Linked DNA regions of Macaca fascicularis. Each later gene encodes a partner of the first gene's protein in a complex. Links are inferred from orthologs where the notes say so. Each region holds a gene or a part of one and is shown in the gene's direction. Other genes may lie near its edges.

Region 1 (6,775 bases):
GATTATAGGCGTGAGCCACCTTGCCAGGCCGTTTATGGAGTCTTGCTCTGTTATCCAGAGTGCGGTGCAATCTAGACTCACTGCAACCTCCGCCTCCTGGGTTCAAGCGATTTTCCTGCCTCAGCCTCCCAAGTAGCTGGGATTACATGCATGTGCCACAACGCCCAGCTAATTTCTTTGTGTATTTTTAGTAGAGACGGGGGTTTCACCATGTTGGCCAGGATGGTCTTGAACTCCTGACCTCAACTAATCCATCCACCTTGGCCTCCCAGTGTGCTGGGATTACAGGCATGAGCCACTGTGCCCAGCCTGGATTCCTGGATACTTTTCATGATGCTTTTATACGTGACTTCTGATCCTTCTCTGTTAGTTCTTTAGTCTACTTATGCATCCAGCCTTTTTCTCTCTGGTTTAAACTGTCAACTTTTGTTTTGTTTTTGAGACAGGGTCTCGCTCTGTCATCCAGGCTGGAGTGCAGTGGCACAATCGTAGCTTACTGCAACCTTCGCCTGCCAGGTTCAAGTGATCCTCCCACTTCAGCCTCCCAAATAGCTGGGACTACAGGCACACACCACCACGCCCAGCTGATTTTTGTATTTTTTTTTGGTAGAGATGGGTTTTGCCATGTTGTCCAGGCTGGTCTAAAACTCCTGGGCTCAAGCCATCTGCCTGCCTCGGCCTCCCAAAGTTCTGGGATCACAGGTGTGAGCCACTGTGCTCAGTCTACACTGTCAACTTTTATTTCCTTTCCACAGGATGGCCATGAGCTACCCCCGCCAATTGCCTTTGATGTTGAAGCCCCCACGACGTTACCGCCCTGCAAGGTAGGAAGCATGGACTGAGTAAGAACTTATGTGTGGAGAGAATACTGCTTCCATGTTCCTAATATCTTGTTTGATTTCAGGGAAGCTATTTTGGAACAGAAAACTTGAAGAGTCTGGTCCTGCACTTCCTACAACAGTAAGTATCCCAGGGCCCCCTCTCCCCACCCCGGGGTTGGCAGGGAAAGGTGGGCAGACCCAGGCACACCTCAGCCTCACTCTTTTGGGTTTTTTTTTTGTTTGTTTGTTTTTTGGACAGTGTCTCACTCTGTCACCCAGGCTGGAGTGCAATGATGTGATCTTGGCTCACTGCAACCTCTGCCTCCCAGGGTTCAAGTGATTCTCCTGCCTCAGCCTCCCCAGTAGATGGGACTACAGGCGTGTGCCACCACACCTGGCTAATTTTTGTATTTTTCATAGAGACGGGGTTTCACTGTGTTGGCCAGGCTAGTCTCCAACTCCTGACCTCATGATCTGCCTGCCTTATCCTCCCAAAGTGTTGGGATTAGAGTCATGAGCCACCGCGCCCAGCCATTTTGTTTGTATTTTTAGTAGAGACAGGGTTTTGCCATGTTGCTCAGGCTGGTCTTGAACTCCTGGGCAAAAGCTGTTCATCTGCCTCAGCCTCCCAAAGTGCTGGGATTACAGACATGAGCCTCCATGCCCGGCCACAACTCACTCTTGGGAGCTACTGGGTCCTTTTATGGCTCTAGACCACATAGTTCATACTTTCTCTTTTGATTTTCCCATAGGTACTATGCAATTTATGACTCTGGAGACCGGCAAGGGCTCCTGGATGCCTACCATGATGGGGCCTGCTGTTCCCTGAGCATTCCTTTCATTCCTCAGAACCCTGCCCGGTGAGTATCACATCCCAGAATCTCCCCAGGACCACTGGGTTTCCCAGCAGATACAAGGCAGCACCTGCTGGCAGCACTGCTCTGAACACCACGTCCATTCCTCTTACTCCCCCAGAAGCAGCTTGGCCGAGTATTTCAAGGATAGCAGAAATGTGAAGAAGCTTAAAGACCCTAGTAAGTGTGTGATATGAACAAAATACGATGGGAAAAGGGCATGGGAAGGAATCAGTCATAGAACTCAGGAGTATGTGGCAGCACCGCTGAGCTTTCTCCTCCACCCACAGCCTTGCGGTTCCGGCTGCTGAAGCACACGCGTCTCAACGTTGTTGCCTTCCTCAACGAGTTGCCCAAAACCCAGCATGACGTCAATTCCTTCGTGGTAGACATAAGCGCCCAGACAGTAAGCTCCTGTTGGTGCCCTGACAGAAGCCTAAAATTGGGGTGGGGGTGGCATTTAATAGACAAGGGGGGGCACTCAGGCTCTGAGAAGTGTACATTGTACCCGATGCTGCTTCTCTTTCAGAGTACACTGCTGTGTTTTTCTGTCAATGGAGTCTTCAAGGAAGGTAAGAATCTCTGGAGTCCTGAGTTTGTAGCATGGTCCCACCCCCAGCTGGAATTTTCCTCAGCACTCTTAGCCTCCCAGCTACTTTCTCTCCCATTTTCTTTTTGAGCTCCTTCTCCCATTCTGAACCCAAGCCGTCTTGGCTTGGCCTGCCTCTCCACCTGTCCTTTCTGGATATGGGAAAAGCCTGGGGATTAGGAGGACTTTGGAGTCAGGCAGTTCTTAGTTTCCATCCCAGTTTTGGTTGTGTGGGGCTGCGGACAAGTAACATTACCTCTAAGACAGATTCTTTATTTGTAAGTTGGGGTTAAGTAATAGCCATCTCATAGTGGTGCTATAGAAAGTAACTGAAGTGACTTACAAAGTGCTTGGCCTGGGGCCTGGCACACAGATGCTATCAGTGGATTAGTAGTAATTACTTTTTTTTGAGACAGAGTCACACTCTGTCACCAGGCTGGAGCGCAGTGGCGCAGTCTTGGCTCACTGCGACCTCCGCCTCCTGGGTTCAACTGGTTCTCCTGCCTCAGCCTCCCAAGTAGCTGGGCCTATAGGCGCGCACCACCACGCCCAGCTAATTTTTGTATTTTTAGTACAGACGGGGTTTCGCCATGTTGGACGGGATCCACCTGCCTTGGTCTCCCAAAGTGCTGGGATTATAACCATGAGACACCACGCCCGGCCGTAGTTATTACTATTGTCCTTTCTGACCTGACCTTTCACCCCACCTCTGCTTCCCTTATACCCTTATATACTTAATCATCCCTCTCTGACCCGCTAGGATTCTTTGTATCAAAGAAGACCATGATTCAAGAAGCTGTTTGTAAACATAAAGCACTAGTGACCCTAAGGTGTCGTTGCTGTTCTCATTGCAGTGGACGGAAAGTCCCGGGATTCTTTGCGAGCCTTCACCCGGACGTTCATTGCTGTTCCTGCTAGCAATTCAGGGTAAGTATTCTGCTTTTCACATTGGATACCAGTCCTAATCATGGCCAACAGTGTGGTAATTGGAAGGTAGAGTCAGTCTTTGGGGTGATTTCAGAAAGGCAACAGGAAATCAGGGAAAGCTCACATAGTAGTTAAGAGCCAGTTAGTTAATAGCTTGGCTCTGGAATTGTGCCGTCTGGGTTTTCATCCTGGCTCCACCACTTCCAGCAAGTAGGCTGCTGCCTCATCTGAAAATTCATTTAACAATATTCACTGCCTAAGTTTGTCGTGAGGATGAATAAAAGAGCTAAGAACTGTCCATGGGTCGGGAGAACTCTAGTGTGTTTGGTAGATAATCCTTCCAAACATTGATTCCATGGGAGGGGATAAATGATAAAAGGTAACAATAGCTAAGGGGGGAGGGGGGGACCTTGTGGATATTGAAAGAATCAGAGAATAGGAATGATGGGAGGATGACGTTATCTGTCTAGCTTTTTAAGTGCTCTTTGTCCTCAAGGCTATGCATTGTAAACGACGAGCTATTTGTGCGGAATGCCAGTTCTGAAGAGATCCAAAGAGCCTTCGCTATGCCTGCGCCCACGCCTTCCTCCAGCCCAGTGCCCACCCTCTCTCCAGAGCAGCAGGAAATGTTGCAGGCATTCTCTACCCAGTCTGGCATGAACCTCGAGTGGTCCCAGAAGTGAGTACTGGGCATGTGTAGGACGGGGTGAACTGAAGGAGGGCTAGTAGTAAATAATGAGAGCTCCTGATGGTTTTTTTGTGTGTGTTTTTGGTTTTTTTTTTATAGAGACAAGTTCTTGCTCTGTCATCCAGGCTGGAGTGTAGTGGTGATCATAACTCAATGTAGCCTCTAACTGCTGAGCACAAGCTATCCTCCCACCTCAGCCTCCAGAGTAGCTGGGCCTATAGGCATGTGCCACCTTTTTTTTTTCTTTTTGAGATGGAGTCCTGCTCTGTTGCCCAGGCTGGAGTGCAGTGGTGCGATCTTGGCTCATTGCAACCTCTGCCTCCCAGGCTCAAGCAATTCTCCTGCCTCAGCCTCCCGAGTAGCTGGGATTACAGGCACATGCCACCATGCCTGGCTAATTTTTTGTATTTTTTTTTTTTTTGGTAGAGACAGGGTTTCACTATGTTGGCCAGGCTGGTCTTGAACTCCTAACCTCGTGATCTGCCCACTGTGGCCTCCCAAAGTGCTGGGATTACAGGCGTGAGGCACTGCGCCCAGCCAGATTTTTATTTGGTTGTTTTGAGACAGGGTCTTACTCTGATGCCCAGGCTGGAGTACAGTGGTGTGATCACAGCTCACTGCAGCCTCAACTGCTAGGGCTCAGGTGATTCTCCCACCTCAGGCACCTGAGTAGCTGGGATTACAGGCATAGGCCACAGCACCTGACTCATTTTTTTGTATTTCTTTGTAGAGATGGGGTTTCACCATGTTGCCCACCTAGGCCTCCCAAAGTGCTGGGGTTATAGGTGTGAGTTACCGTGCCTGGGTTCCTGAAATTTTAAAAGGCAAAGCTTTTGGCTGCTTAAAAAAACCTAATAGTTGGCCAGGCAAGGTGGCTCACATTTGTAATCCCAGCACTTTGGGAGGCTGAGGCATGCATATCATGAGGTCAAGAGATCAAGACCATCCTGGACAACATGGTGAAACCTCATCTCTACTAAAAATACAAAAATTAGTGGGGCTTGGTGGTCCACGCCTGTAGTCCCAACTACTCGGGAGGCTGAGGCAGGAGAATTGCTTGAACCCAGGAGGCGGAGGTTGCAGTGAGCCGAGATCGTGCCACTGCACTGCAGCCTGGTGACAGAGCAAGACTCCGTCTTAAAAACAAAAAACCAAAAAACCCTGATAGTCTACCAAAAATTTGCCTGTGCATAAATTAGCATAATTTTTTTTTTTTTTTTTTTTTTTTTTTTTTTTTTTTTGAGATGGAGTCTCACTCTGTCCCCCTGGCTGGAGGGCAGTGGCGCGATGTTGGCTCACTGCAAGCTCCACCTCCCGGGTTCCCGCCATTCTCCTGCCTCAGCCTCCTGAGTAGCTGGGACTACAGGCGCCCACAACCGCGCCCGGCTAATTTTTTGTATTTTTAGTAGAGATGGGGTTTCACCGTGGTCTCGATCTCCTGACCTTGTGATCCGCCCGCCTCGGCCTCCCAAAGTGGTGGGATTACAGGCGTGAGCCACCGCGCCCGGCCTAGCATAAAAATTTTTAAAGGTTGCCGGGGCGGTGGCTCACGCCTGTAATCCTAGCACTTTGGGAGGCCGAGGTGGGCGGATCACGGGGTCAGGAGTTCGAGATCAGCCTGGCTAACATAGTGAAATCTGTCTCTACTAAAAATACAAAAATTAGCTGGACATGGTGGCGGCGCCTGTAATCCCAGCTACTCGGGAGACTGAGGCAGGAGAATGACTTGAACCTGGGAGGCAGAAGTTGCAGTGAGCCAAGATTGCACCATTGCACTCCAGCCTGGGCGGCAGTGAGACTCCATCTCAAAAAAAAAAAAAAACGTTAAAGGCAAATGGAAGTTCCTTTTCATATACTGTTCTGCAACTTAGTTTCTTTACTTACACCATGAACATCTTTCCCTACCACTGTAAAAACTATCTTGGACTTCTTGACAGCTATTTAATATTCCTTATCTTTGATAAGCCATTGGTAGAACATTTGGACTTTTACTAATTTCTCATTTGTATAAATAGTGCAAGGATGTATAAGAATGTACATATTTGTTGGCAAACCTGGGTGCTTTTATGGAATGGACTTCCAACTGGCATTTAGGGGTCAGAGTTCTTACAGAGCTGCCTGTTCTTCCACTCCAGGTGCCTTCAGGACAACAACTGGGACTACACCAGATCTGCCCAGGCCTTCACTCATCTCAAGGTAAGGTCTGGAAATACAGTGGCAAAAACACTAGGATCTCTGGGCCTTCCGGAGGTCAGGTTAGCTGGGGTTGCTGAGTGGAGATGGTAGGCCTGCCTCTACTGACCTTCATTTTTCTCCAGGCCAAGGGCGAGATCCCAGAAGTGGCATTCATGAAGTGATTGTAGTCATGCCCCAGAAGCAGCCTCCCCTGTAAATAGTCCTTGGATATTACCATCTGGTTGTCGTCTGTCATCTCCTCCTGTCTGGCCCTAGGCCGCCCCGTGACTGTGACCGAGGGAGGGAGGGCTGCCTGATCCCTCTCCTCGCCTGCCCTGGAAGCCTTCAGAAGATTGAGCCTCACTGATGCCCGGAAGCCAAAGCTTACTTTGTAGAACTGACACTAAACTACCCGAAGGATTTAGGTGCTTTGTGTACTTAACCCCAGGACCTCCTTACTTTTTAATATAAAGAGTGATGTTGTATTTTGTGTTCTGCGTTCTGGATTGGTTGTCTCCTCCCAGCCCTGAGCGGGAGGGCGGGCCCTCTAGCGGGGCGGGGGGGGGGGGGGGGGGCTAGGGAGGGCGGGAGGCGGCTCTGCGACAGGAAGTCCCACCCCGGAAGTCGGCTGGCCATGGCGGCGCCTTGGAGGCGGTGGCCCACGGGGCTGCTAACTGTGCTGCGACCCCTGCCCACGCGCCGGCCCCTGCAAGGCGCGACG
Region 2 (7,468 bases), on another chromosome or scaffold:
TGATAAATATGCATATTTAGTTCCAATTCCACATAGAGGCTTTGCAGCCGTCTGACCTCTCCCACAATTCCAGATGGCTGATGGCTGAGCTGGGAAGAGGGCTGAGATCCAAACGAGAAATGATCCCTACAACCTTCTCAGACAAATGGCATCACTGCAGGCTGGGCAAATGCTCCAGATGGTGCCTCCTTGATACACTGCTATTTAATGTCTACAGTGTCCACACCCCCATTTTACAGAGGCAATAACTGAGGGACAGAGAAGGCAGAGCTCAGATTTCACAAGACACTGTCTGACCCCGTAAGGTTTGCTCCTTCGGTAAACCTCAGAATCTCCTCAAAAGTCAGGTCCCCAACTGTCCTCCTGGAAAAGCAGCCCAGCTCACTCTGAACTGGCAGTGGCTCAGATGATCCTGCTAAGGCCGAGAGACGGGAAAAAAAAGTGTTTTTGGTGTCAGTGCATGAGAGTCACAACTGCTTTGCTGTCACTGTAGGTCGACTGGCTCCAAGTCACACAGCCTCTCATGGCAAACAAATGCTGTTAAGATCCTGCACCAGAGAACAACATTGACAATGAGGGAAAAGATCAATCCTGTGTTTACAGACTTAAATATCCTTAAGTCAAGCCTGGGCGTCAGAGCTGCCAAGGACTCTGCCTGTGTGACCAGATGTGCCCGTCCTCCCCAGACGGACTTCATGCTGCACATGGGACCACTGGCTCCTTGGCTGCTTAAACCACTGGGCTCGTCTTCAGAAGGTGCCCGTGCAATTTGGTGACAAATCCCACCAATTTGTCAATACACTTCTTCCAAGTTTAAAAGCCAGTCATTGGAGGGATTGTTGGCAGATAAGGAAGCTGCTGTAGATGCAAAATGTCAAAGCATGATTCTGCTTTCCTAATGCTTTCTGGATGCTACTTCGTGCTCTGCCCCATATGAAGCACTTAGCGTTGCATTGTTTCCTTCGCTCCTCACGTCAGCCCAAGGAGATGGATTTGACCATTGCCCCTATTCTACAGAGGAGGCAGCTGAGCCCCAAAGAGGTAACTCACTTGCCACAGCCACCCTGCTAATGCTTAAGCCACACTAGTCAAGTTGTAAATAACTTTATGTTTATGCCCAATTTTAAACAGTATAAAAGATAAAAGGGATTTCCTGGCTCTTGAAACTAAAAAGTCCAAACTTGAGGGATGATTTGACTCCCAACATAGTCATCAAGAGCCTGATTCCTTCCCAGCTTTCCTGTCTGCCTCATCATCAAGGGTCTACCACTCAGGGCAGCAAGATGGCTGCAGCAGTGCTATCTACACACCATGGGTCCAGAAGGGAAGGGAGAAAAATATCCTTTCCCAGAATCCCTCAGCAAACACCTCCAGGCTCAATGGCCCTAATTGGGCCTCCCACCACCCTCAGCTGTGCTCAACGCATACAGTGCCAGTTGTATGCCCTTTGGAACCAGGGATGTCTCTGACGTCCCCAAACTCCAGGATCATAGGGGGAATAAAAGCCAGGGTTGCTTCCAAAGAGAGCAGGGAGTGTGTTGAGGACAGATCATCACAACCATGCAGTTGAGGAGCAATGATTTGAACCCAGGCTTGTCTGTTCATTCAGACAGTATTTATTGAGCCCTTGCTATGGGTCAGGCACAACTCTATATGCTGGAGACACAAACCTAAAAGGACCCTAACCTAAAAGGCAGACCCCACAAACCTACAAGGCAGAACAGCTGCCTCTCAAGGCTAAAGTCTCGCATTTTTAAAAGGCCTTGGAGCTTCATTAACGTTCTTCTAACGTCCTAATGTTCTTCTAACCAGCTTTTCTAGGTATGAATTGACCCTGTGACACCAGGATGGTTCTTTGTCAGCCTCTTTGTCTATGAAATCAGAAATAATGGTACCTCCCCCAATAAGTTATGTGAAAGAAATGAAAGGGACTTATTATATATGAAACAAAAGCAGCACAACATCCAAACTACTGAGCGTGCAGTAGATCAACTCTCATTCCCACTTCCATTCCATCCATGCCGATTTAGATCAATCCAAGTATCACTGCCTTGGGGTTCATAAAGTCATTTCAGTTCATAAAGCACCGCAAATGCTCCTTCACCCTCTCTGCTCAGCCTCCAACTTGTCCTTTTAATAATCCAAACTCTCCACCTACTTAACTGAAGTGTGTGCGTGGGGTGGGGGGGAGGGAGCGGGGGGGGGGAGGGGTGGCCTATACTAAACAGCCCAACTGTTTTCAATGTGTCCTGAAATCTGAGACCAAGATTCTCTTAGGAATGCAAGCAAAGGGAGCCGATGGGACGCCAAGAAAGCACAGGTTAAACTACTTCACTTCATCTAGCCCCAGTTCTCTCCTGGCTTTGCAATTAATTTTTCAGCCTCAGACCAGCAGATGGAGCTGAAAATGTTGTCTAAAGAAATGAGGTTTTTCTTTTAATTTACAAGCTACAGTTTCTCAAACCTCCACACTGAATGGTTATATCCTGTTGAGCCTGTTGGTAAAGTTCAGTAAAAATCCAGTCCTCATTCCAGAACAGCTGAAACTTAGCTAGGGACGCGGAATAACAGAATCCCAACTCCTGACGGGCCCGCGTTTCCCGGGACACCTCAGGCCTCAGGGCAGTGGGAAGCCGCCGTCAAGCCCCCGCCTCACCCACGTCCTACCCTCGCCCCAGTCTCCTCCCACTCTTAGCTACATTTCCCATGTGACTAAAACTGGCTTTCTCTGTGTCCACCAGGACATCGCCTCTAAGTGGCTTAAGCTCCTAAGGAGCGCGATCGGCTCAGGCACTCCGCCACGCGCATGCCACAGGGCGCGGCCGGCCTTGCCCTCGCTGTGGCCTCAAGCACCGCGGCGCCTCACATGTTGCCATACGGAAGGCCTCGGCTGGGTCAGGCAGCTGCTGCTGGCCGTGACTGCATCAAGTAGTGACGTTTCACGAGCCTTTTAACTGAAATCACTCCAATACAAGGGCATGCGGGACTAGGTGAAAGCACTTCACCCAACCCCACACAACGTCCCCTCCCTCTCCAGCCAAGCGGCCTCCTCGCAGCGGAAAGAACAGCGAGGATCTAGGGGCGGGACCTGAGAGGTTTGGCCCAATCAGGGATCCCACCTAACCAGACGGGCCGGGGTCTGTGACCCTGTTGGACCAATAAAAACTCGACGGCGGATTTGCCGGGGTTTCTGGGAAGGTGACACTCCCGGAAGCTACCACCTCTTATAAGCCACACACGGGCGGAGATAGCCTTCCGGCTCGCAGTCCCACTGGCTAACCTCGCTGCCCGTCACGGGAATGCGAGAGGGGGCGGGGCCGGAGCGCTCGCGTCTGCGCGGAGTCCGGCTAGCAGCGCGCGGGAAGCCGCGGAACTGCGCCGGAAAGTCCCCAGGCTGTGGGGCCCCGGTGACCCAGAGTAAGCCTCCAAGAAGGAAGAGGAGGGAAGAAAGGCGGCTCTTCCCGTGCCCCTACCCGAGGCCTCGGTGGGCCCACCCTGTGACCTCCGCGGCCGGCCCCTCGGTGGAGCTGCGGCCCGCGCGGGGGGCATCCCGACCGTGGGCGCAGCGGCCCGCGCTGACCCTGGACGTCGCCGCGCAGGTAGGTTGCAGTCCCCCCGGCGGTCTGACCCCGGAGACAGCCTCTCGTGCATACCCCACGCCCTCCTCCATTGTCGGGAATAAGACACGGCTGTACCTTTGTCCACGTGGTAGAGTTGCCTCTCTACTGTGCAAAACGCGTGGCAGCGAATTCTCTTCAATGAGGAGAGGCGCGTCCCCTCGCAGAGCAGCTCTCGGGTCTGAGGAGGGCAGGGCAGGGCGTGCGTCTGTCTAGGTTTGAATTAAAGGCGACTCGCAGGAAATGCCACTGTGGTAGCTTCTCCCGTCCAGCTCTGGACACTCGACGGTGCGGGCCGTGGGAGGAGGCGGCGATCTTCACAGCCTCTTACTCCAGTCCTCAAGGTCTGGTTCTTTTTCTGATTTGACGCAGCGGGGCTGACAGCCCCATAGGTAACTGAGAACCAAAAGTGGAGATGGTCCTTCTATGGAGTGTGGGGGCGTGGCCAATTGTTAGATTGTGTTTGGAAGGACAGCCAGGGGCGGGGAAGAGGGGCATTTCTGAGATGATGGGGGGACTGGTGCCATGGAGGGAAGAGGAGTGAGGTGGAGATCGGGAATTCCAGCCAAAGAGAAATGGGGTCCCTGGGAGAAAATTCCCACTCCGGCAGTCCTGGAGTTGTCCTCATGGAGACTTGCTTACGCGAGTAAAAGGACAGCATCGTCTTGACAAAATTTCAGCCCTCAGTCTAGTCTTGTAAATGATAGATCAGGAATGCTCTTAACCGTCATTACCTTGATCCAGCCCTAGGTTTCCCTTTTCTCATTTGTAAAATTGTTATAGTAATACCTTTTTCATTCATTTGTGGTGACATTTAAATGAGGTAATATATGTGAAGCTCTTAGCAAACACAGCGCTGCTTCTTCGTGGGTTCCGCGTGGGGTGGATTCAACCAACCTCAAATCAAAAATACTCTTCAGAAAAAGAAAAATGCCTTTGTACTGAACATGTAGAGGCTTTTTTTTCTTGTCATTATTTCCTAAACTATACAGTATAACAACTATTTACATCCCTTCTACATTGTATTAGGTGTTATAAGTTACCTACAGGTGATTAAGGTACATAGGAGGATGCTGCGCATACGTTGTATCAAACAGTACACCGTTCTATCAGGGACTTCAGCATCAGCAGGTGTTGGTATCCTCGGGGGTCCTGAATACAGTTCCTCACAGATACCGAAGGACCGCTGTACTTAGTTCAGAGTACAGTTGAGGCTTCACTTTGAGGTCTGTGGAGGGCGTGGAAAGACCCAGGTCTGAAATTGGCTCTTAACTGCTCATTTTTAGGACAGCTTCCCTCCCAGCCAGCCCTTTACCAGAGGCAATGCACCACCTTTGCAGCCGTTAAAAGAACCTGGCTCTTTCCAGCCCTATGTGGAATGTTTTATCGCTTTCATAAGCTAATCATTTAAAAAAAAGGTCTTTTTTTGAAATGAAAAAAAAAAAAATCACTATTTAAGTTTGTAAGTATAAACTATTTTAGTAATGTCCTCTATTTTAGTAATCCAGTATTTTAGTAATGTCTTCTATTTTAAGTGAAATATTTTAATTATGGAGAAAATAACGTAACAGTTGTACCTGTACCCTGAAAAAAGTAAATGTCAATTTTTTTTTATGCTTTTTACTTTTTTATTGGGGGGACAGTGTGACATTTCAGCTATAGTACACATTCTGTGCCCACACACCCAAGAACTTTGAAATTTAACATGTCTTTCTGTGGAGGCACTGTGGCTCCACAGGACTGATGTGGTGGATATTAGTACCTATGTAAGCTGGGTGTCCTCCCTTCTAATCCCCACTCACCCAAGAGATTTGCTGCTTCCAGTTTACCATGGGGATTATGGCTGCCATTTTGGTTCTGTCCTCATGTCATTTGTGTTTCTACCCTCTTAAGAAACCTGCCTTCTCTGCCCTCCTGGTTCCTCTTGAGTGAGCTCCATGATAGACTTTCCCAGACTCAGCAGCTGACGAGCATTTCGTTGGTTTGGTTGGCCTTTATTGAGCCAGTGACCACTCTTCCCTTCTAAATGGTCCACTGTCTTTACCAAGGGGCAGTCATGTCTGTTGCAAGCATTCAGGAAAGAGTGGCCTTCCATAGTCAAATGTACTCTATTTTATAAAGTGTGATTTAAAAAATTAATGGTCCAGTCAGCCCTCCTCATCCTCTGGGAATTGATTCCAGCAGTCCCCCTACCCCTGCAACAGACCAAATCTGCTGATGCTCCAAGTTCTTGATATAAAATGGCGTTAAGGCCAGGCACGGTGGCTCATGACTGTAATCCCAGCACTTTGGGAGGCTGAGGCGGGCAGATCACCTGAGGTCAGGAATTTGAGACCAGACTGGCCAACATAGCGAAACCCTGTCTTTACTAAAAATACAAAAATTAGCCAAGCGTGGCGGTGGGCACCTGTAGTCCCAGCTACTTGGGAGGCTGAGGCAAGAGAATCCCTTGAACCTCGGAGGTGGGGGATTGCAGTGAGCCGAGATCATGCCACTGCACTCCAGCCTGGGTGACAGAGTGAGACTCAGTCTCAAAAACAAAAACAAAATGGCATAGCACAGTCAGCCCAATATATTTGCAGGTTTCGCCCTGAGGTTGCTTGAATCTGTGGATGCAAAACCCTCAGATATGGAGTGCTGACTATAACTAAATGTTTTTAACTAAACACAATGTATACTGTCTCAGTTTGCCACAGTGGTAATCCCATCTTAACAATGAGCAAACTGAGGCTTGGTAAAATTAGACATTTAGGTGTTGGGTACTATTTGAGCCTACAGTCATTGTTCTGCAGTCTGTAACTATTTTGCCAGTAGTAGAAAAGGAGGAATGTTCCATTGTCAGGGCAGAATGAACTTTGGCATTCACATGGGTTCTCTTCAACCTTACTTCCCTGCAGCCCCTGATTCCCCAAGGCAGAGGAAATACCCTGGTGGAGCCCTTCTTCCATAGAACCAGAAATGGCATCTGTGGATTTCAAGACCTACGTGGATCAGGCCTGCAGAGCTGCTGAGGAGTTTGTCAACGTCTACTACACCACCATGGATAAGCGGCGGCGTTTGCTCTCCCGCCTGTACATGGGCACAGCCACCCTGGTCTGGAATGGCAATGCTGTTTCAGGACAAGAATCCTTGAGTGAGTTTTTTGAAATGTTGCCTTCCAGCGAGTTCCAAATCAGTGTGGTAGACTGCCAGCCTGTACATGATGAAGCCACACCGAGCCAGACCACAGTCCTTGTTGTGATCTGTGGATCAGTGAAGTTTGAGGGGAACAAACAACGGGACTTCAACCAGAACTTCATCCTGACCGCCCAGGCCTCACCCAGCAACACAGTGTGGAAGATCGCAAGTGACTGCTTCCGCTTCCAGGATTGGGCCAGCTAGTGGGGGTGGCAGAGGTCTCTGCTTCATTCAGCCCTAGCTCTGTAGAGAAATGCAAACCTCAACTCTCAAGGATATGAGGAACACAAGTTCATTTCTGTTGTTGCGGAGACACTGCAGACTCCACTGTGCTGAGGTTGAACTCTTTTTTTGTTGCTCAAGTTCTAGGAGTCCCTTTCCTGAATATATACTTGTTTGTGATAGTTTCCTTTTCAAAGTAGTAAACTTTTCTATTTTTCTACTTGCCCAGTAGAGACTCTGATTCTGGAAATTCTGACAAATAATTTAATAATATACATGTTGCTTCTTTCCCCCCGTCTGATGTGTTTGACCAGGTTTTGAGGGAGGAGGAAGGCTAAAGGCAGAAAGCATAATAGGAAGCACCCGCACAGGGGTGAGGATCAGGGCTTAGTACCTACCCCAGGCACCGGTATGCACACAGTTGACCCACCTGGAACTGTGATTCACAACCC

What was found. Proteins that work in one complex are often made in the same cells at the same time.
Region 2: the proteins of NXF1 (region 1) and NXT1 are in contact, whole or in part, in a crystal structure (PDB 4WYK), measured with the Homo sapiens proteins. The link is inferred for Macaca fascicularis from reciprocal best matches to the Homo sapiens genes NXF1 and NXT1. Residues at the interface, in NP_006353.2 of Homo sapiens: Ala366, Pro367, Thr368, Thr369, Leu370, Pro371, Pro372, Cys373, Lys374, Gly375, Tyr377, His411, Gly413, Cys415, Cys416, Ser417, Leu418, Ser419, Ile420, Pro421, Phe422, Arg440, Asn441, Val442, Lys443, Lys444, Lys446, Pro448, Thr449, Arg451; in NP_037380.1 of Homo sapiens: Phe6, Lys7, Val10, Asp11, Cys14, Glu18, Thr44, Val46, Trp47, Asn48, Gly49, Asn50, Ala51, Phe61, Met64, Leu65, Pro66, Ile72, Ser73, Val74, Val75, Asp76, Cys77, Gln78, Pro79, Val80, His81, Glu83, Ala84, Thr85.

What each region holds. Positions count from the first base shown.
Region 1 is NC_088388.1:11,254,617-11,261,391, forward strand, and holds the end of NXF1 (nuclear RNA export factor 1), read left to right. Parts: intron 1-755; coding exon 756-824; intron 825-904; coding exon 905-960; intron 961-1,573; coding exon 1,574-1,681; intron 1,682-1,796; coding exon 1,797-1,855; intron 1,856-1,965; coding exon 1,966-2,081; intron 2,082-2,204; coding exon 2,205-2,247; intron 2,248-3,118; coding exon 3,119-3,191; intron 3,192-3,687; coding exon 3,688-3,870; intron 3,871-6,014; coding exon 6,015-6,075; intron 6,076-6,197; coding exon 6,198-6,236; 3' UTR 6,237-6,544; downstream 6,545-6,775. Other genes in the region: TMEM223 (transmembrane protein 223), read left to right, coding at 6,689-6,775.
Region 2 is NC_088384.1:63,953,824-63,961,291, reverse strand, and holds NXT1 (NTF2-related export protein 1), read left to right. Parts: upstream 1-3,338; 5' UTR 3,339-3,599; intron 3,600-6,514; 5' UTR 6,515-6,575; coding exon 6,576-6,998; 3' UTR 6,999-7,306; downstream 7,307-7,468.